4 linked regions of the Macaca mulatta genome follow. The protein of the gene in region 3 purifies or fractionates together with the protein of the main gene of each other region. This does not show direct contact. Links are inferred from orthologs where the notes say so. Each region holds a gene or a part of one and is shown on either strand. Other genes may lie near its edges.

The links. Proteins that work in one complex are often made in the same cells at the same time.
Region 1: the proteins of ENG (region 3) and ACVRL1 purify together in Homo sapiens (affinity purification with western blotting; 3 studies listed by BioGRID and IntAct, with this or other methods). This does not show direct contact. The link is inferred for Macaca mulatta from reciprocal best matches to the Homo sapiens genes ENG and ACVRL1.
Region 2: the proteins of ENG (region 3) and TGFBR1 purify together in Homo sapiens (affinity purification with western blotting; 5 studies listed by BioGRID and IntAct, with this or other methods). This does not show direct contact. The link is inferred for Macaca mulatta from reciprocal best matches to the Homo sapiens genes ENG and TGFBR1.
Region 4: the proteins of ENG (region 3) and TGFBR2 purify together in Homo sapiens (affinity purification with western blotting; 3 studies listed by BioGRID). This does not show direct contact. The link is inferred for Macaca mulatta from reciprocal best matches to the Homo sapiens genes ENG and TGFBR2.

What each region holds. Positions count from the first base shown.
Region 1 is NC_133416.1:59,096,004-59,100,611, forward strand, and holds part of ACVRL1 (activin receptor type-1-like), read left to right. Parts: coding exon 1-104; intron 105-306; coding exon 307-518; intron 519-720; coding exon 721-820; intron 821-1,182; coding exon 1,183-1,329; intron 1,330-1,935; coding exon 1,936-2,211; intron 2,212-2,767; coding exon 2,768-2,965; coding exon of another isoform or gene 2,966-2,987; intron 2,988-4,608. UniProt on the Homo sapiens protein: Type I receptor for TGF-beta family ligands BMP9/GDF2 and BMP10 and important regulator of normal blood vessel development. On ligand binding, forms a receptor complex consisting of two type II and two type I transmembrane serine/threonine kinases.
Region 2 is NC_133420.1:59,257,468-59,262,075, forward strand, and holds part of TGFBR1 (TGF-beta receptor type-1), read right to left. Parts: intron 3,722-4,608; coding exon 3,597-3,721; intron 2,545-3,596; coding exon 2,414-2,544; intron 1,019-2,413; coding exon 893-1,018; 3' UTR 1-892. UniProt on the Homo sapiens protein: Transmembrane serine/threonine kinase forming with the TGF-beta type II serine/threonine kinase receptor, TGFBR2, the non-promiscuous receptor for the TGF-beta cytokines TGFB1, TGFB2 and TGFB3.
Region 3 is NC_133420.1:19,845,376-19,850,423, forward strand, and holds the start of ENG (endoglin), read left to right. Parts: upstream 1-1,817; 5' UTR 1,818-2,119; coding exon 2,120-2,186; coding exon of another isoform or gene 2,187-2,267; intron 2,268-5,048. UniProt on the Homo sapiens protein: Vascular endothelium glycoprotein that plays an important role in the regulation of angiogenesis. Required for normal structure and integrity of adult vasculature. Regulates the migration of vascular endothelial cells.
Region 4 is NC_133407.1:17,875,757-17,880,364, reverse strand, and holds part of TGFBR2 (TGF-beta receptor type-2 precursor), read left to right. Parts: intron 1-2,758; coding exon 2,759-3,558; intron 3,559-4,608. UniProt on the Homo sapiens protein: Transmembrane serine/threonine kinase forming with the TGF-beta type I serine/threonine kinase receptor, TGFBR1, the non-promiscuous receptor for the TGF-beta cytokines TGFB1, TGFB2 and TGFB3.

The sequences.
Region 1 (4,608 bases), on a different chromosome or scaffold from region 3:
GAACTTGCACAGGGAGCTCTGCAGGGGGCGCCCCACCGAGTTCGTCAACCACTACTGCTGTGACAGCCACCTCTGCAACCGCAACGTGTCCCTGGTGCTGGAGGGTACGTCCAGCTGCCCCAGCACTCCCTCCCCATCTTCTCAGCCCCTGCCCTCCCTTCCCTCCTTTCCTCTCATGCTCTGGCCAATAAAGGGGCTGGGGGCGGGGGGGCGGGCAAGACTCTGGGATTTAACTGGCAGAATGGTCTGCCCAAGATGGGGGAAGTTGACCTAGTGCAAGCTGAGCCTCAATGTCCCCTCCCCCAGCCACCCAAACTCCTTCGGAGCAGCCGGGAACAGACAGCCAGCTGGCCCTGATCCTGGGCCCCGTGCTGGCCTTGCTGGCCCTGGTGGCCCTGGGTGTCGTGGGCCTGTGGCATGTCCGACGGAGGCAGGAGAAGCAGCGGGGCCTGCACAGCGAGCTGGGAGAGTCCAGTCTCATCCTGAAAGCATCTGAGCAGGGCGACAGCATGTTGGGGGTATGGGCCTGGGGACCTGGGACACAGGGTGGAGTGGGGCAGATAGCAACTGCGGAATCAGAGGGGTCATCCAGAGAGTAGAGCCGGTGGGGAGCTGGGCGAGTGAGGAGCTTGCAGTGACCCAGCAGGTCCCAGGTTGAGGATGGAGAATGGGGCTGCGGCTGGTTAGGGCAGCTTTTGAGTGGACTCTCCATACCCCCAGGACCTCCTGGACAGTGACTGCACCACAGGGAGTGGCTCGGGGCTCCCCTTCCTGGTGCAGAGGACAGTGGCACGGCAGGTTGCCTTGGTGGAGTGTGTGGGTGAGCAGTGGGTGAGCCCGGTGGATGAGGACCAAGGGCTCTCATGAGCCTTGAGGGGTGAGGGAGTTCTTGGCTTCCGGAATCACAGGCAGTGCCAGGCCTGGGTCAGAACTGGAATTCTGCTGGGCAGGGAGTGGGCTGGAGACGGGCCAGGGCTAGGTTCTTTCTGCAGGACCGGGGTGGAACGAGAGGCAGCTGGGGGTGGCCTGCCGCTGGGTTTGGGTCTGGATTAACTTAAACCTAAGGGTCAGGGGTTCTGTGGGTGGGGTGGGCGAGGGAGGCAGCACAGCATCAAGATAAGGGGCTCCTCCAGGGCTCTGTGTGCCCAGTGTGTAACCCTCACCTTCCCCTCTGGCCATCAGGAAAAGGCCGCTATGGCGAAGTGTGGCGGGGCTTGTGGCACGGTGAGAGTGTGGCCGTCAAGATCTTCTCCTCGAGGGACGAACAGTCCTGGTTCCGGGAGACTGAGATCTACAACACAGTGTTGCTCAGACACGACAACATCCTAGGCAAGGGGAGGGGCCGGCTGTGCCAGGCCTGGGGCTTTGCCCTCCTGCACTCAGGGCTCGAATTCACAGACCTCCAGACATTAACAGAACCCTGAAGGACTCCCAGCCCACCTGCAACACCAACCTCTTTTTTTTTTTTTTTTTTTTTTGAGACAGGGCCTCGCTCTGTCACCCAGGCTGGGATGCAGTTGTGCAATCTCACTGGAACCTCAATCTCTTGAGCTCAAGCGATCCTCCCACTTCAGCCTCTTGAGTAGCTGGGACCACAGGCATGTGCCACCATGCCCAGCTAACTTTTTTATTTTTTGTAGAGACGAGGTCTCCCTATGTTGCCCAGACTGGTCTCAAATTCCTGGGCTCAAGCGATCCTCCTGCCTTGGCCTCCCAAAGTGTTGGGATTACAGGTGCAAGCCACTAAGCCAGGCCCAGACCCAACCTCTGACTCCAGCTCTGTCTCTGACCTAAGCCACATCAACCCCCACCCCAGACCTTGCTTAGCAGTGACCCAGCCCATTCCCTCTCCCCCGACCCCACCCTGACCCTGACCACTCCAGCCTCCCTTAGCCCCAGCCCCTTGGCTGAGTCACCCGACCCTTCTGTGCACAGGCTTCATCGCCTCAGACATGACCTCCCGCAACTCGAGCACGCAGCTGTGGCTCATCACGCATTACCACGAGCACGGCTCCCTCTACGACTTTCTGCAGAGACAGACGCTGGAGCCGCATTTGGCTCTGAGGCTAGCTGTGTCCGCAGCCTGTGGCCTGGCACACCTGCACGTGGAGATCTTCGGTACACAGGGCAAACCGGCCATTGCCCACCGTGACTTCAAGAGCCGCAACGTGCTGGTCAAGAGCAACCTGCAGTGTTGCATTGCTGACCTGGGTGAGCTGGGCAGGGCAGGGGCAGACCCTTCACAGGTGGGCACAGCTCGTGCTCTCTCCTCTCCTTTGCCTATGGGCGGTGACCATGATGGGCGCTTGAAAACAGAGGTGCATGTTGTCTCAGTTCTCCTCTGCAAGACCGCATGAGTTGTCTGAACACCCTTTTCAAACCAGACTCCTTCCACCATACCATCCTGGCTCCAGGAGTTGGGAGAAAGGAGGCAGGAGCCAGAAACCTGGATTCTCATTCCTGGCTTCGCTAACTATATCCCTCCCCGGCACCAGCCTCCGGCTCTGCTCCATGAAGTGGGCATCATAATGCCTGCCTTGCCCACTCACATCTCGCTGGGTTCTTGAGAACCTAAAGAGCACTACATAAGCAAAGAGTACCTGGGGCGGTGGTTCTCTCTGTGGTCACTGTCTTCCAGCCCATCTCCATGCAGGTCTCCATCTGCCTCCCCCTCTCTGTCCCACTGCTTCTCTCAGTCCCCACCTTGCCTGCCCCCTGGACCCCAGGTCAGGGAGAGGGACAGGAGTGACAGGCCTCACCCCCACAGGCCTGGCTGTGATGCACTCACAGGGCAGCGATTACCTGGACATCGGCAACAACCCGAGAGTAGGCACCAAGAGGTACATGGCACCCGAGGTGCTGGATGAGCAGATCCGCACGGACTGCTTTGAGTCCTATAAGTGGACTGACATCTGGGCCTTTGGCCTGGTGCTGTGGGAGATCGCCCGCCGGACCATCGTGAACGGTGAGTGTCCACCCTACACAGGGTAGGGAAAGGGCAATTGGCCCGTGGAGCCAGGGGCTTCCTGCCATGGCCAGTGCCCATGGCCTGGGAGGTTTGCAGCCAGACCTCCTGGCACCCTTTCCATGCAGCCCACCAGCTGATTCAGCTGAGTGACCTTTTAAGGTATAAACCTTAAAAACAGATAACGGGGTCTGTGAGTCTGGCTGTGAAATCTTGTACGTGATAATAACAGAAATATTAATAGCAGCTAACATTGATTGAGCTTAAATATGTGCCAGATGCCATGCTATATACTTTACATGTATTATCTTATTTGATTCTTTGATATGGGCAAGGCAGTGGTATTGCTTAGTGGCTAAGACCATAGGCTTGGAATCAGACTTCCTGGGTTCTATTGCTGATTTTGCCATGACCATGGGTAGGTTATTTGGCCTCTCTGTGCCTCAGTTTCCTCATTTGTAAAATGGGGGCGGTGGCTTATGCCTGTAATCCCAGCACTTTGGGAGGCCGAGGCGGGCAGATCACCTGAGGTCAGGAATTCGAGACCAGCCTGGCCAACATGGCGAAACCCTGTCTCTACTAAAAATACAAAAATTAGCCAGCTCTGGTGGCACACGCCTGTAATCCCAGCTACTCGGGAGGCTGAGGCAGGAGAATTGCTTGAACCTGGGAGGCAGAGGTTGCAGTGAGCCGAGATCGCACCACTGCACTCCAGTCTGGGTGACAGAGTGAGACCCTCTCTCAAAAAAAAAAAATTAATAAATAAAGAAAGAAAGAATAAAAATAGCTTCCAGTTGTTGAGATAATCTAAGTATTTAGAACAATATCTAGAGCTAAATATTAGTGGCCGTTATTGCTGTAGATAGAATGAGTGCCTGACCTCATATTGTCCCCATTGTACAGTTGAGGAGATGGGGGCACAGAATGACAGCGGGCTTGAGGCAGCATCAGGGTCTGAAACCGGCCAGTCTGCTCCAGGGCCAGTGCTCATCATCACTGTGTGCACTTAAACCTCTCTGGCCTTTGATTTCTTCATGCACACAATGCATGTGAGTGCCTGCACTGCCTGCTTATTGCTGCCTCGTTGTTACTGTGGGTTGCCACAGGGGACTCTGATTTAGAGGGACTGCGGCAGGTAGAGGGACCTGCCCCGGGCAGCCCTGTGGTTGATGCTCTCTCAACCCTGGGGTGGATGGAGGATGGGTGGGTCTTCTACACTGGTGGGAACATTGTCAACCTTTGAGGAGGCTGTCCATGGTGAGGGACTTCCAGGAGTCTTGACAGGTTGGGGACAATCCTCAGGATATGGCTGGAGCCCTGCTTCTTGGGGACAAGGATGTCTTCATTTCCTGAGTATCTACTAGGAGCCAGCCCCATGCCAGACTTCATTTGTCCTTAGTGGTCATCGACTGAAAACGGAGGCTGTGGTGTCACCAGTCCCTTGGGGAGACTCACGAGGCGCTTAGATTCCTTAAGACTCTGGGGATGAACTGCCAGAGTGGGCTCTACGGAGACCGGGATGGGGGAAAGGGGAACCTGGAAGAAGCCAAGGCTCTTTGGACCAAGCTGCAGGGCAGAAAGGAAAGGCTGGGAGAGGCTGCCTGGGGCGGAGGGGGAAGCTCCATCAGCCCCACACGGACTCG
Region 2 (4,608 bases), about 39 Mb from region 3:
CAATTTACTAATTAATGCCACTTCATTTCTTTAGTGGCTTAAGCACATTTTGGTAGGAGAAAGGCATTTTCAAAACAGAATACCAAATGACATATCACAAAAACCCTTCCAAAAAACAAAATAGAGAAAGTTTGGGTTACCAGATAAATAAGCTTTTTGAATTCAAACACTATAGGTTTTTAACATAGAGACTTTCAGCAATTCTACTCATTTCCATTAGAAAGACACAGAAGTGGCACTTACTGGTATAGTACAATCCCATTTTGAAGGCATGTAATGTTCTGAATAAGTGAAAGAACAATAATAGTATACAAAATACCACTGCATAAATTATGTTCCTCACTACTATATGAGGTCATTTTTAGACTCAAGATAAGAGTTTTATAAGTGTTAGTTTTAAGATCCTGAAAAACTATAGAACAGTACATTCAAAGTCTGAATCAAGGAAACACTAGTGGTTCAGAATCCTCTGAGAATGTACTAACCAGGAGCAAATCACTTTCTTTAATAATAAGAAATGTTTCATTATAACTCAGCAATCCAACTCCTTTGCCCTTAAAGATGATCTCCAGCACAGCAGAGTTACCTAAAGTTAAGACCAGCAATCATCTTTTTAAAAAACAAGTTTTGTTAATAAAAAATAAAGGTAGACTACACAACATTTTGTAACTGTCCTGGGAAAGAAGCGTTCATAGTGCACAGAAAGGACCCACACGGCTGTTTCCTGGGTCCGAAGAAATCCTGGGAAGTTTTTAATTGACTTTATTACACTGCTGCAAAAGGAAGCAACATCCTTCTGTTCCCTCTCAGTGAGGTAGAACAATTGACCTCCCAAATTAAAACCCAGGAGCAGATCTGAAGAAAAAAGTAGAGTTCAGGCAAAGTCGTAGAATTACATTTTGATGCCTTCCTGTTGACTGAGTTGTGATAATGTTTTCTTAATCCGCAATGCTGTAAGCCTAGCTGCTCCGTTGGCATACCAACATTCTCTCATAATTTTAGCCATTACTCTCAAGGCCTACAAGAAAATATAATTAAAAAAAAAAATTAATGCATGCACCATTTTCCATTGGTCTGGATAAGAATTTTTACCTGTAAATTTTCTTTTTAAATGACATATACACTTTGTTGTTGTTGTTAAGCATTGTTTGTAATAGCAAATGAGTAGAAATTTCACAAATTTCCATCAATAGGGTACTGGTGTCAGTGCTGGAAAGCAGGTAGACAAAGAGTAACTCACTTAGCAAACCTGAAGAGGTCGAATCCTAAACCAGAGCTGGGCAAAGCAAAGAAGAAATCTGACCTCACACTGAAATTTTAAGTTTGTACTTTGAAGTATCCAGATCAAATTTTTCTTTTTTTTTTTTTTTTGACACAGGGTCTCACTCTGCGGCCCAAAGTGGAATGCAATGGCATGCCCTCAGCTCACTACAGCCTCGACCTCCCAGGCTCCAACAATCCTCCCACCTCAGCCTCCGGAGTAGATCAAATTTCTAAAAGACAAAATCTAGCAGCACTCTCATTTGTTAAAGTATGTCACATGCAAATTCCTTAAGCATGCTGAAATACATTTTATTTGGGCCTGTAGATGTGATTTTGTTGGAGGTAGCAAGCTCTCTTGGTTATCAGAGGTTCTGATGAGTCCTATAATAGTTTAAGATGTAAAACCAACTACTGAACTGAACAGCTTTTTATAGCCTTTTTAAGCTACAAACCTTCAAACCCGGAGGAATATGCCCTGCTTCACCAATACTATAATAGTAACAGCTAGCAACTAAGGAGAGGTTAAATAAAATTCATCTTACGAATCTTTAAATTTACAATTACAAAAACATTTCTAAAACTTTTTGTTAGAGCTGAGGTTGAGAAGCTCAGACACTGCTGGAAAAAAAGCATTTTCCCTAAATTCCTGGTTAATGGTCATCTGGGCAATCAGATGAATAAAATGGAAAATCACTTGAAACAACTTTGTAATCACCTTATCTGAGTTCCTCACCTTACAAAGGGATATTAAGGTTCAGAGAACTAAAGTGATTTGTTCCAAGTCAGACCCTTGAAATGGTAGTCAGGCTGGTCTAGAATACAGGTCTCCTCATTCCTGTCCAGCAACTGTCTATTATTCTGGGTTGCCCTGGCTGAAGGGAGGCATTCACTTAAAAAGTATGTGCTTTAGTTCGCCTGACAGACCTAAACTATGTTCTGATACACTAAAGGCCACTGCAAATGTTCCACGGCCCTTTCAATGTGCTTACAACTGAATATGAAAACCAAATTATTCTGTTTTTACACATTGGTTTGACTGCTATGAAAAAGAAACTTCTTAAAGAAAAGTTTTCCTTAAAGAAAAGCAGCAAACTTTTGCTTACTAAGCAGAAGTTTAGAAAATTGCCTAATATCAAAAAGAAATACTCACTTCGCAGCTCTGCCATCTGTTTGGGATATTTGGCCTTAACTTCTGTTCACAAACAACTTTTCTCATTTCTTCCACTGATGGGTCAGAAGGTACAAGATCATAATAAGGCAGCTGGTAATCTTCATGAATTCCTGTATCAGTTTAAAAAAAAATAATTTTGATAAATGTATTCAGCGAATGCCAAGGCATTAAAAAGGTCACCTGAGAGGCCTATTACAGTGTCTTATTACTAAAGTAGGTAGGTGGAACAGAGATTACAGCTTTCTCTATCTCATCCAAATCTGTATCAACAAGTCACTTCCCTGAGTTGATATTCTGCCCACACCTTGAAACTATTGCCAAGAGATCAATAAAGCCTATTTGAAATGACAGTAAACTGTGAGCTGTGACCACCAGACTGACATTTTCCCCTAGAACCCTATTGTGCAGCAAATGAGATTCTATTCTGTAAGTGCACAGGCTCTCACTTGTACAGGGATATATAGATCCTATCAGTGAGACACAAATCCTATGAGGCAAGTTTAAGGTGCAAGTCCCTTTCTCTACTTGCATCTGTCAATAATATATCCTATTTACTACAATACAGAGAAATACTCTGTCCCTCACTGCTTCAAACACCTAAGGCACTAAGGTCTCAGCCAAGCCTAGGTCCCCAAGCCTAAGAGACTGTTTCCTGAGTAAACATTATAAGTACTCCATCTAAAACGCTAGAAGTTAAGACAAACTAACTCTAGAAAACAACACAATGGTAACATAATTGTATTCTGTGTACGTAATCTATAACTATCAAGTTGGAGAAAATATGCCAAAGAGAAAATATGCCAAAGAAAAAAAATAAATTTGACACCTAGGTACATGCTAGAAACAGCTTCCTAGGTGAGCCTCTCAAGCAGCTGTCCATTCTAAAGAACTATATTCCAGTATAACAAGGGTTTGGGTTCTGATGAGTCTCAAGATTCAAATGGAAACAGGAAGAGAATACACTAGGCTAGAGCTGTGCATGTGCACACCATGGCACTGTCCCCTCCCAAAGGTTTCATCGCCTTTGTTTTCTCTGGCACTCGGTGATGTCCTGTTTCAGATAATGGATTGTGCATAATTTCATTCAATAAAAAAAGAAGACAATTCTCGAACAACTTCTTCTGCTCATGACAAACTGTTGGGGGAGAGGGGAGCAATTTACCACCAATGGAACATCGTCGAGCAATTTCCCAGAATACTAAGCCCATTGCATAGATGTCAGCACGTTTGAAGGATTCAAAATGTTTCATATTTATGGAATCATCAAGAACTTCAGGGGCCATGTACCTAAAAAAAATTTGCAAAAATAACTTTGAAAATCATCCCCTTACTGCCACATTTTGATGAACATCCTTTCAGACATTTCTCTGTACACAGACATATGCACAAAATATTACATAACAAATATTAGACTCAAGAAAAATATTAAATATCCACACTGGTTTGCACATTAATGATGTCAACTAAATCCCACAAAACGCTAAAATAGCAGTTTCACGCTATCTGCCTCATGATCTTGGTTTCCAGTGAAAGACATATGCAACTATTGTGACTGTTAAAGGTGTCCCAATGTACACCACCTATACATGTACTAGGTAGAAACCATGCATTTTAATCTAGAAGTCTTCTCACTGAGGATGAAAGGAAGGGCAGGAATATACTCTAAGGGAAAAAATAATAGGCACAGAAGAATGCCAGTCCTCATACTGAAGCTTCAAAAACCTATGAAAATTATGGGTCAAGACCCACAGAGACCTGCAGCAACCACTGTCAAGGACTCCTTAGCTGGCTGAGAGTGCAGAGTCCCCAGGGAATCCAGAAATCTCAAAATTATACATAAAATTTGAATAGACTAATGCTGCTGGCTCTCCAGCTCTCTCCAAGGCCAAGGAAGTAGTTTGAAGAAATGCTGTGACAGCAAGTGATAAGGGCTTTGGGTCAGAAATGCCCAGGTTCAAATCTCAGCTCTTTGGCTTATCATCCACATGAAGCTGACCATATTATTTAACCTCCTCAAGGTGGTTTCCTCGTCTGTGAATTAAGGGTAACAACACCTACCTAATTAAGTTCTTTTGAAGACCCATGGACTCAACAAATATCTACTGAGGATCTACCATGTATTAGGCACTGTGATGGATGCTGGGAATACAAGGCTGCTCTCAAGCAGCTTGCAC
Region 3 (5,048 bases):
CGCCTGGCCTCAGACCCCGGACCGACATCCTCCCTCCAGAGGCACCCAGGGCTCCAGCCTTCTCCTCCCTCCCTGGGCCTCAGTTTCTCCACCTGTGACCCAGGGCAGGTAGATCCAGGGAGAAGAACCTTCTGGCTCCATCTCACCGTGGGTCCTGCCAGCACACACAAAGATTTGCTCTCTCAAAGCCCAGCTCTGCCAGCGTCCTTCTGCTCGAGAACTCTCCATGATGCCCAGTGGCCCTGAGGACAAAGTCCTGGCATTCGAGGCCCTCCCAATGCAGGGCCAGACTCTGCCTCTCCAGCTTCCTGTCCCCACCACACCCCTGCTGGTCTCACGGTGGTCCGACTGCTTCCTGCTTCTGTGCCTTTGCTTAGTCTGGCACCCCTGCCTGGCATATCCTCCTCACCCCTTCTTCTCCCCACCCCCAACTCACCCCGTCTTTCAAATGGCAGGCTTAAATGCCAGCCCCTCCAGGTGGCCCAGGCTTCCTTCTCTGAGCTTCCATGGGCCTGGCCCTGGGTGCTACCTCTGAGTAGCACCATGGTGGGCACATAGTAGGTGCGCTTACTGTTTGCAGAATGAACATGGGACAGTTTGGGGACTGTCACCCAGCTCAGGGAGCACTGATGGGGAAGCATCTCCCGTATGTCCCAGGGCTCAGTGCTGTAGCGTCCTCACCCTCAGAAATCTCATAATGACTTAGCCAGGAAGGCATCGTACCCCACTTTGCAAGCAGGGGGCGCTGAGAATTGAGGGGCTTTGTCCAAGGTCTCATGGCTCAAGCAAGCAGAGTAGGATTTGAACCCAGGGCCATGTGACTTCAGAAGTGCCATTAAAGTCCCCATCATTTGGAGTTTTCTTTTTTTTTCTTTTTTTGAGACCGAGTCTCACTCCATCATCCAGGCAGGAGTGCAGTGGCCTGATCTCGGCTCACTGCAACCTCTGCCTCCTGGATTCAAGTGATTCTCTAGCCTCAGCCTCCCAAGTAGCTGGGACTACAGGCGCATGTCACCATGCCCGGCTAATTTTTGTATTTTTAGTAGAGACAGGTTTTCACCATGTTGGTCAGGCTGGTCTTGAACCCCTGACCTCAAGTGATCCACCTGCCTTGGCCTCTCAAAGTGCTGGGATTATAGGCTTGAGCCATTGCACCTGGCCTGGAGCTGTGTTTTGTCCATGAAGGATTTTCCACCCAGGAAGGGGTCAGATATGAAGTGTGTGGCCCTGGGCAGCTACTCTGAGCCCAGAGATCCCAGCCGTAGCCACCTTGCTGTGCCACAGTTTTCCCGCCTGCTAGGCAGCCCCATGTCAATTGCACTTAGTAGGCCGGGTTTGGTGCCTGACAAGACATGAGGTGGTGGAGGTGGGCAGGATCCCAGCGCTACCCTCTTCTTGAACCAGTGATCTCAACACATCGGATCTCTGTTTCCTCATCTGCAAAATGGGATCATTGAGCTCAGGGGGTCACAAATTCCACAGGAACTACTTTAGCCAAGCCCAGCCCCGTGAAAGGCCCGCTCGGTGGGCTGTTAGGGTGATTGTTTTCATCTGTGGGGCTGCCTGATGCGTCCCCACCCGCCGGCCTTGGAGAGGGTGGGATGGGAGGGTGGGGTGCTTGGGGAGACAAGCCTAGAGCCTGGGCCCTCCCACCCCACTGCCTCCCCCCATCCCAGGGCCCCCCACCCAGTGACAAAGCCCGTGGCACTTCCTCTACCCGGTTGGCAGGCGGCCTGGCCCAGCCCCTTCTCTAAGGAAGCGCATTTCCTGCCTCCCTGGGCCGGGCTGGATGAGCCGGGAGCTCCCTGCTGCCGGTCAGACCACAGCCTTCATCTGCGCCCTGGGGCCAGGACTGCTGCCGTCACTGCCATCCTCTGGAGCCCAGCACCCCTCCCCGCCCATCCTTCGGACAGCAACCCCAGCCCAGCCCCGCGTCCCTGTGTCCACTTCTCCTGACCCCTCGGCCGCCACCCCAGAAGGCTGGAGCAGGGACGCCGTCGCTCCGGCCGCCTGCTCCCCTCGGGTCCCCGCGCAAGCCCACGCCGGCCCCGGCGCCCACCCGCAGCCCTGCCTCTGGACACCGGATAAGGCCCAGCGCACAGGACCCCGCGTGGACGGCATGGACCGCGGCGCGCTCCCTCTGGCTGTTGCCCTGCTGCTGGCCGGCTGCAGCCTCAGCCCCACAAGTAGGTGTCCAGGGACCCGGGGTGGGGAGACTCGGCCTCTGGTGCACAGACCAGGCCCCAAGTATTCCCGGCCTCCTTCCTGTATCCTGAGCTCAGGCCCAGCGGAGTCATCCATGGGGCTTTGGAGGGTCACCGACCCTCCCAGTTTGCTGGAACTAAACGATTATACAGGACTTTCAGTGTTGGAAAGCCTCGGGCAAACTGGGCTGACTCTTTCACTTCAACCCTGGTCTCTGGCGTCTGCTCACCCAGCTGTGTTCCATTACTCCCCGGGAAGCCTAGGTCCTAGAATGCTGTGCAGCCACAGGAGAGTTTCCTGCCCTCTCTGGGCCTTGAGTTTCCCCGTGAGGAATGGATGGGAAGGAGGGCCCATAGCCTGGGTTCTGAGCACTGGCTCTGGGTTCAAATGTCACATAGGCACTTCCTTGTGGTGTGATCTTGGGGGACTGCCTTCGGGCCTCTGAGCAAAGCGGGAATGACAACAGACTTCCCTCAGCTGCCGAGAAGGTTGGTGGTGAGGGATCATTGCAGAGAGGGCTCTGACAGACTGGCCCCTTCTGTGTTGTTTTATTTTTAAGTTCCTCCAGCTCACCTTCCCCAGGGCCTTTGAGTAGCTCCTAGAACCGAACAGGCCAAGGCTGCAGGGCCCTGCTCTGCCTCCCTCCCACCTCCCTGATCTCCAGGAAGGGTGCGGGAGTGGGTGCCGGCCAAGTTAGGGATTCTGTGGGGGCTCCTCAGCCTGGGGGGCTCTTCCAAGGAGTCATGGCCTGTGCTGCTTTCTGAAACTGACAAGAGGAGGGGCCGTGAGGAGCCAGGGACCCCCAGCCCCACGTCCCACTCCCTATCCCTCGGCCACCTCAAGCCACTGGCCGGTCCTGTGGACAATCCTTTGACCCACCTGCGCATCCAGGGGCTTTCTGATGGATCTGGGGGAAGAGGGGCAGAAGGGGGCTGCGAGTGTGGGGAGGAAGGGGAAGGAAAACAGCGGTGGGGCAGCCACCGTCTCCCCCCGTCCCCACCTGACGGCATTTTAGAGTCCCTCATTCTAGGTCTCCAAAGCTCTGCCCACCACCTGACTGATAGGAAACTGAGTCTCAGACATATTAAGTGACTTAGCAGGGATTTGACTCCTAGCCTGAGGCTCCCTAAATGTTTGCTCCTAGCAAGGTGTGATAGGGCAAACCTTCTTAATGCGGCTCACAACGACCCTGCAAGATGGCTGCCGTCATCGTCCCCATTTTACAGAAGAGAAAATGGAGGCTCTAACCTGCCAAGTTCACACGGCTAAGACGAAGCCCCTACCTAAGCTCCAAGATCTCCCTCCCACGCATTGCTCGCTGCAGTAACACTCTCTTCCTCTTGGTCATTACAGAAAGGTGCATGCAGACATTTAGGGCCTGGTTTTTAAGGATCAAAGGCAGTGGTGTGCTGGTAAATAATTAACAACAGGGTGGGGGGCTCGGTCTGTAGCGTTTGTGGATTTCCACAGCGTTTAAGTACTCCCACCTGGCTGACTTCAAGCCACCAACTCACCAAGCTTGTGGATGGGAATCAGTGCCCAGTGCACCTGGCAGTTGGTTCTCCAGAGTCTCTGCAGGCGCAGATCACATCGAGAGCAGAGATGACAGGGGTGTAAAACGATTAGGAAGAAATGCGTTTGGACATTCGTGCTCTTTTAAAAATATATAGTAATAGCTATGTAACAGCCAGTTGGAGAAACTCCTGGAAATGTCTCAGTCTGCTTCTATGAACAGGTAGGAGCTGGTCCCAGTGCACCAGGGGTCACAGGCTCAAAGATACAACAGACCATCAACCCAACTCATTTATGGTCTGGGAAGCTGAGGCCCATGGAAGGCAGAGGGGAGCCTGGGACCAGGGCCTGGAACCCAGATCTCCATGCCGGGGCTGGGGGTAGGAGTGACCCCGACATCCTAGAAATGGGTCTAGAATTTGGGGCCACCACTTGGAAGAATATCCTAAAACTGTACCTTGCGTGTAACTTGTTACCCTCACAAATCAACCTTCAGAAGTCAGCCTTCTAGAGTTACTCGTCCAACTCTGTAAAGATGTGTGGTCCATGGGTACCTGTAACAAAAATCCAGTAACTGGAAATGATCTAAATGTCCATGAGCAGAGACTCTTAATAAATTACCATGGAATATCATGCAATAGGCACCAAGAAGACAGAGCTATATGAACACTGCCATGGATGGATGTCAGGGACACATTGTTAGGTGCCCAAACAACAATAATTCCATTTCGGCAACATTAAAATAGTAATAATGTACAATATGCAATAGAGAAAATTCTGGAATAGAATTTTCTATTTAACCCACTCTCACTGTTCTGTGGCCTGGGGTTTTCTCTATGGGACTTTCACTTTCTTTTTAACATTTTTTTGAGATGGAGTCTTGCTCTTGTCACCCAGGCTGCAGTGCAATGGCACAATCTAGGCTCACTGCAACCTCCGCCTCCCGGGTTCAAGCGATTCTCCTGCCTCATCCTCCTGAGTAACTGGGATTACAAGTGCCGGCCACCACACTCGGCTAATTTTTGTATTTTTAGTAGACAGGGGGTTTTGCCATGTTGGCCAGGCTGGTCTCGAACTCCTGACCTCGTGATCCACCCACCTCAGCCTCCCAAAGTGCTGGGATTACAGGTGTGAGCCACTGTGTCTGGCTGGGACTTTGACTTTCTAAGACACACTTTCCTGTCATGTTGGGGTTTTTTTTGTTTTCTTTTGTTTTGTTTTAAGAATAAGCAGTCCAGGTGCAGTGGCTCACGCCTGTAACCCCAGCACTTTGGGAAGCTGAGGAGGGTGGATCACCTGAGGTCAGGAGTTCAAGACCAGCCTGACCAACA
Region 4 (4,608 bases), on a different chromosome or scaffold from region 3:
TTTCATTTAGAATATACAGTCAGTGGAAGTTGGCATTTCTACTTAGACTTACCTTAAGAACAAATAATCATATTAAACCTTAAAAATTGATATATACTAGCTTCATTTCTCACTGTGTTTTGTTAAATGAAAGTATCAGATTCTGGGCCAGGTGTAGTGGCTCACGCCTGTAATCCCAGCACTTTGGGAGGCCAAGGCAGGCAGATCATGAGGTCAGGAGTTCGAGACCAGCCTGGCCAACATGGTGAAACCCCGTCTCTACTAAAAATACAAAAAAAAAAAAAAAAAAAAAATTAGCTGGGCGTAATGGTGCACGTCTGTAATCCCAGCGACTTGGGAGGCTGAGGCAGGAGGTGAGGTTGCAGTGAGCAGAGATCGCACCATTGCACTCCAGCCTGGGTGACAGAGCAAGACTCCATCTTCAGGAAAAAAAAAAAAAAAAACACGAAAGTATCAGATGCTGTATATAACCTGGCGTTCATCATCGTGAGCCAGGAAAATTTAGGACATGAACACACACGAGTTTAGGAGAGGAGTTTAATAAGCAGAAGAGAAGAGAAGGAGAAACAACTCTCTATAGAGAAAGAGGTCTCCAAGCAGAAACGACGGGCTGGCGGTGAATGTGCTGGATTTTATAGTCCGGTTTGAGGAGGCGGTGTCTGATTTACATAGGGCTCACAGATTGGTTCATTCAGGTATGACGTTTACATAGTGCATGGGGAGGACTGGTCACCCCACCCTAATCTTATGCAAATGGACTTTCCAGTTGATCAGCACCATCTTGTCTGCTCTTTACTGTACACATGGCTGACAGAGAAGGGAAGATGGAGCCACCGTCTTGAACATCTCCTTACTTCCTGCCGGCATTCACCCGTGCAAGCTCCCAGCTTGCCTGTGTCTGAAGCTCGACTTTACAGGCTGCTGTTTGTTAGCAAATGATTTGGGGCTGCTTTTCATTAAAACGAAAAGCCTTACCTTGGACTCCCATACCCTTACTATCTGCCCAAGTAATTTCTTCTTAACTCCTTTATCAATACCATTTAGGTAATAGGTTCCCCTCGAGAGAATTTGGTTGTATCCTCATTCCACCTAGACTATATTCTCATCACTTCTTTTTTTTTTCTCTTCAAACACCTACTGTAGGTGAAAACGGACAATTGAATAATCAAAAGATCCTTCTCTGACATGGAGTTTGTTTCCCTACCACCTACCCGTTTTTTCCTTTCTATTCCCCAGGTGCAGGGTGGTCAGTATGGGAGAATTGCTCTTCCTTAGATAGATCATATATTCTTTCTCCTGAACAGAGCACTCTTTCCACTCATCACTGACTTTTCCCATTCTTCAGAGACCAACTTAAAGGCAATTTTTTGCTACTGTGCCTTCCATGTTTCTCTAAACTCTTCCACATTCCACTAACATATAGATTGCATTGTACATTTAGCCCCTATCCCAGATGCCATATATTCCTTATTTGTATATATGCCCTAAGTCCTCTATTGGGTACTCTGAGGGCAGTGCCATGCCCAACGTAGACACTCAGTAGTGATATATTTAACGAATGATTCTAGGATCTGAGCATGATTAATGGGTACTTTGGAGGGCGGATAGATGACACATAAAGCAGTAGAATTCTGGCATGTTTGCCCAATGAAAACAGCCCAGCACAAGCTCCCATTGAACTAGAGCTGCCTTTTGCTGTCTCCTGTCCACTGTCTGTTTCTATTCATGTCCTTCTTCCAAAGAGGAAAACTGTTTCACCAGAGCCAACAAGGCCAGCATATGAACCAAAGTTTGAAGCACAAGATATTATAGTTAGATATCTGGTGCTAAGGACTCTATTCATCAGCTCACAGGGGCCTGCTCCGGAATTCCAAGTCATAAAACTGCAACGTTTCCATTGTTAACTGATCTTACCTTTGTGGCAATGTTTCCATCGTTGCTATTAAATATTTCAGTTCCATGAAACTACAATTTACATGCACACTGAAAAGAGAAATGGTGGGTGGTGTAAGATACCTGTCCAAAGAGATCCTTTCCACGGACTCCTCTCCCTGTCACCCATAGGCCTAGGGTAGCCTGAATGCTGATCAGGGCAGAACACGTTGGAGCTTGAAAAAGAGCAAAGATTTTGGTGGAAACCGTGGCATGCTCTGTGTTTTTACCAGATATCATACATGCAAATTTTTTGAAGGCAGAAGCTGTGTCATTTTTTTCCACGTTCCCAATGTTCTGAGCTTCGATAACACTCAATAAATGCTTTGTCTTTTTATTTGGCAGTATTGAGGATCTGCCGTGTGCTACGTGCAGTTTACTGTAGTGAAGAAGACATGGTCCCTGCCAGCATGGAGTTCCCTGTCTGTGGGGGATGGGGAAAGTGGGGAAAGACAGACGTGAAATCAAGAGGTGGAGTCATAGGTCATTTAATTTAAGTTGCACTGAATTGTTACCTAGGAAAGGTATAAGATGCAATGAAAATGTATAAAATAAGACAATTTTCCAAGTTTTTCTAGGTCTCTCTTAAGGAGTGACATTTAAGCTGAAATTTGAAGGAAGAGTAGGAGATGTCAAATAGATGGCCAGAGGCAGGGAAGACTGAACAAGTGTGCACTGGCATCCCTGAAATAAAAATTAACAATGTAGTATCTACAAAAACTATACAGACGCTAAAATCTATAGATGTTCGGGCATGAACCCGCTTCCTGACAGTACATACCTACCACATCCAACTCCTTCTCTCCTTGTTTTGTTTCCCCATCAGAATACAACACCAGCAATCCTGACTTGTTGCTAGTCATATTTCAAGTGACAGGCATCAGCCTCCTGCCACCACTGGGAGTTGCCATATCTGTCATCATCATCTTCTACTGCTACCGCGTTAACCGGCAGCAGAAGCTGAGCTCATCCTGGGAAGCTGGCAAGCCACGGAAGCTCATGGACTTCAGCGAGCACTGTGCCATCATCCTGGAAGACGACCGCTCCGACATCAGCTCCACATGCGCCAACAACATCAACCACAACACAGAGCTGCTGCCCATTGAACTGGACACCCTGGTGGGGAAAGGTCGCTTTGCTGAGGTCTATAAGGCCAAGCTGAAGCAGAACACTTCAGAGCAGTTTGAGACAGTGGCAGTCAAGATCTTTCCCTATGAGGAGTATGCCTCTTGGAAGACGGAGAAGGACATCTTCTCAGACATCAACCTGAAGCATGAGAACATACTCCAGTTCCTGACAGCTGAGGAGCGCAAGACGGAGTTGGGGAAACAGTACTGGCTGATCACTGCCTTCCATGCCAAGGGCAACCTACAGGAGTACCTGACGCGGCATGTCATCAGCTGGGAGGACCTGCGCAAACTGGGGAGCTCCCTCGCCCGGGGCATTGCCCACCTCCACAGTGATCACACTCCGTGCGGGAGGCCCAAGATGCCCATCGTCCACAGGGACCTCAAGAGCTCCAATATCCTCGTGAAGAACGACCTGACCTGCTGTCTCTGTGACTTTGGGCTTTCCCTGCGTCTGGACCCTACTCTGTCTGTGGATGACCTGGCTAACAGCGGGCAGGTAAGTTAGAGATAGTGCTAGATTCCCTTTACCTTGAGCCTGGCCTCACCCTACCTCTTGATCTGTATCTCCTGGCTCTTATCTCAAACAGCCCTATACTCTGGACGCTGGTTTAGAGAATCTAGCCAAAGTACCGAGTCTGCCTTGAGCATGCTCTGCTCTCTCCTGCCTGAGCATTTTTGCTAATGGACAGCATTTCTCCTCCTGTCTTCAAATCCCTCCCAATTCAGCACATTTTTTCCTCCTGGATCAATTCTCATTTCTCTTCCAGCAAATGCTTTTTCCTTTTTTCAAGCACTGTCAGTACTTTACCTCTATTTTTTCCCTCTCTTATGGTTGTACTCAGTCCTTTCTACTCTATATTAGCTGTAGTTGTGTTGGTTTCTTTGTATGATTCTTTGTATTAATAGGGTCGTGGAAGGCCTATTAATAATGTCATGGATCTCCCTGAAGTCCAAATCTACATCCACATGGTCACCCAAGATACCTAGCACAATGCCTCGAACATTGAAAGTAAAATAAGTACTTGTCAACTGAGTGAGCGCTTCCGCTCTTGAAGCACTCTCACAGATTAAAATGGAAATGTTTTTGGCTAAGAAACTATCGGAAGGTGATTAGAAATCACCACAACATCTTATAAATGACAAGCCCAGTGTTTTCACACAGTGGAGTCTGTGGAGAGCAGCACTGTCTTCTTTAGCCAGGTGGCAGGACACACTCTGAAGCATATGGTTACTGCTCAGTCAGCCCTGTGTCCATGGCAGCACACACAGTGTTGAGGTAAACATCGAAACATGGGCAGCCTAATGTGCCAGAGTAATGAGCCATGCAATGACCTCTTGAGAAGAAAAACTGTTTCTAATACATGCCAATGAGAAACATTCCTTGGAATGATAATATCAACTCACTCGGCTTCCCTAGATCCTTGGGAAGGCAGGACTTTATTGTTATTTAGTCAGTCTATACATACTACAATACTAAATATTTAAGTGATCCATTCCCTGGAATATTTTTTTCCTTTTTCATATGGATCCCACGTTTGCATATTAT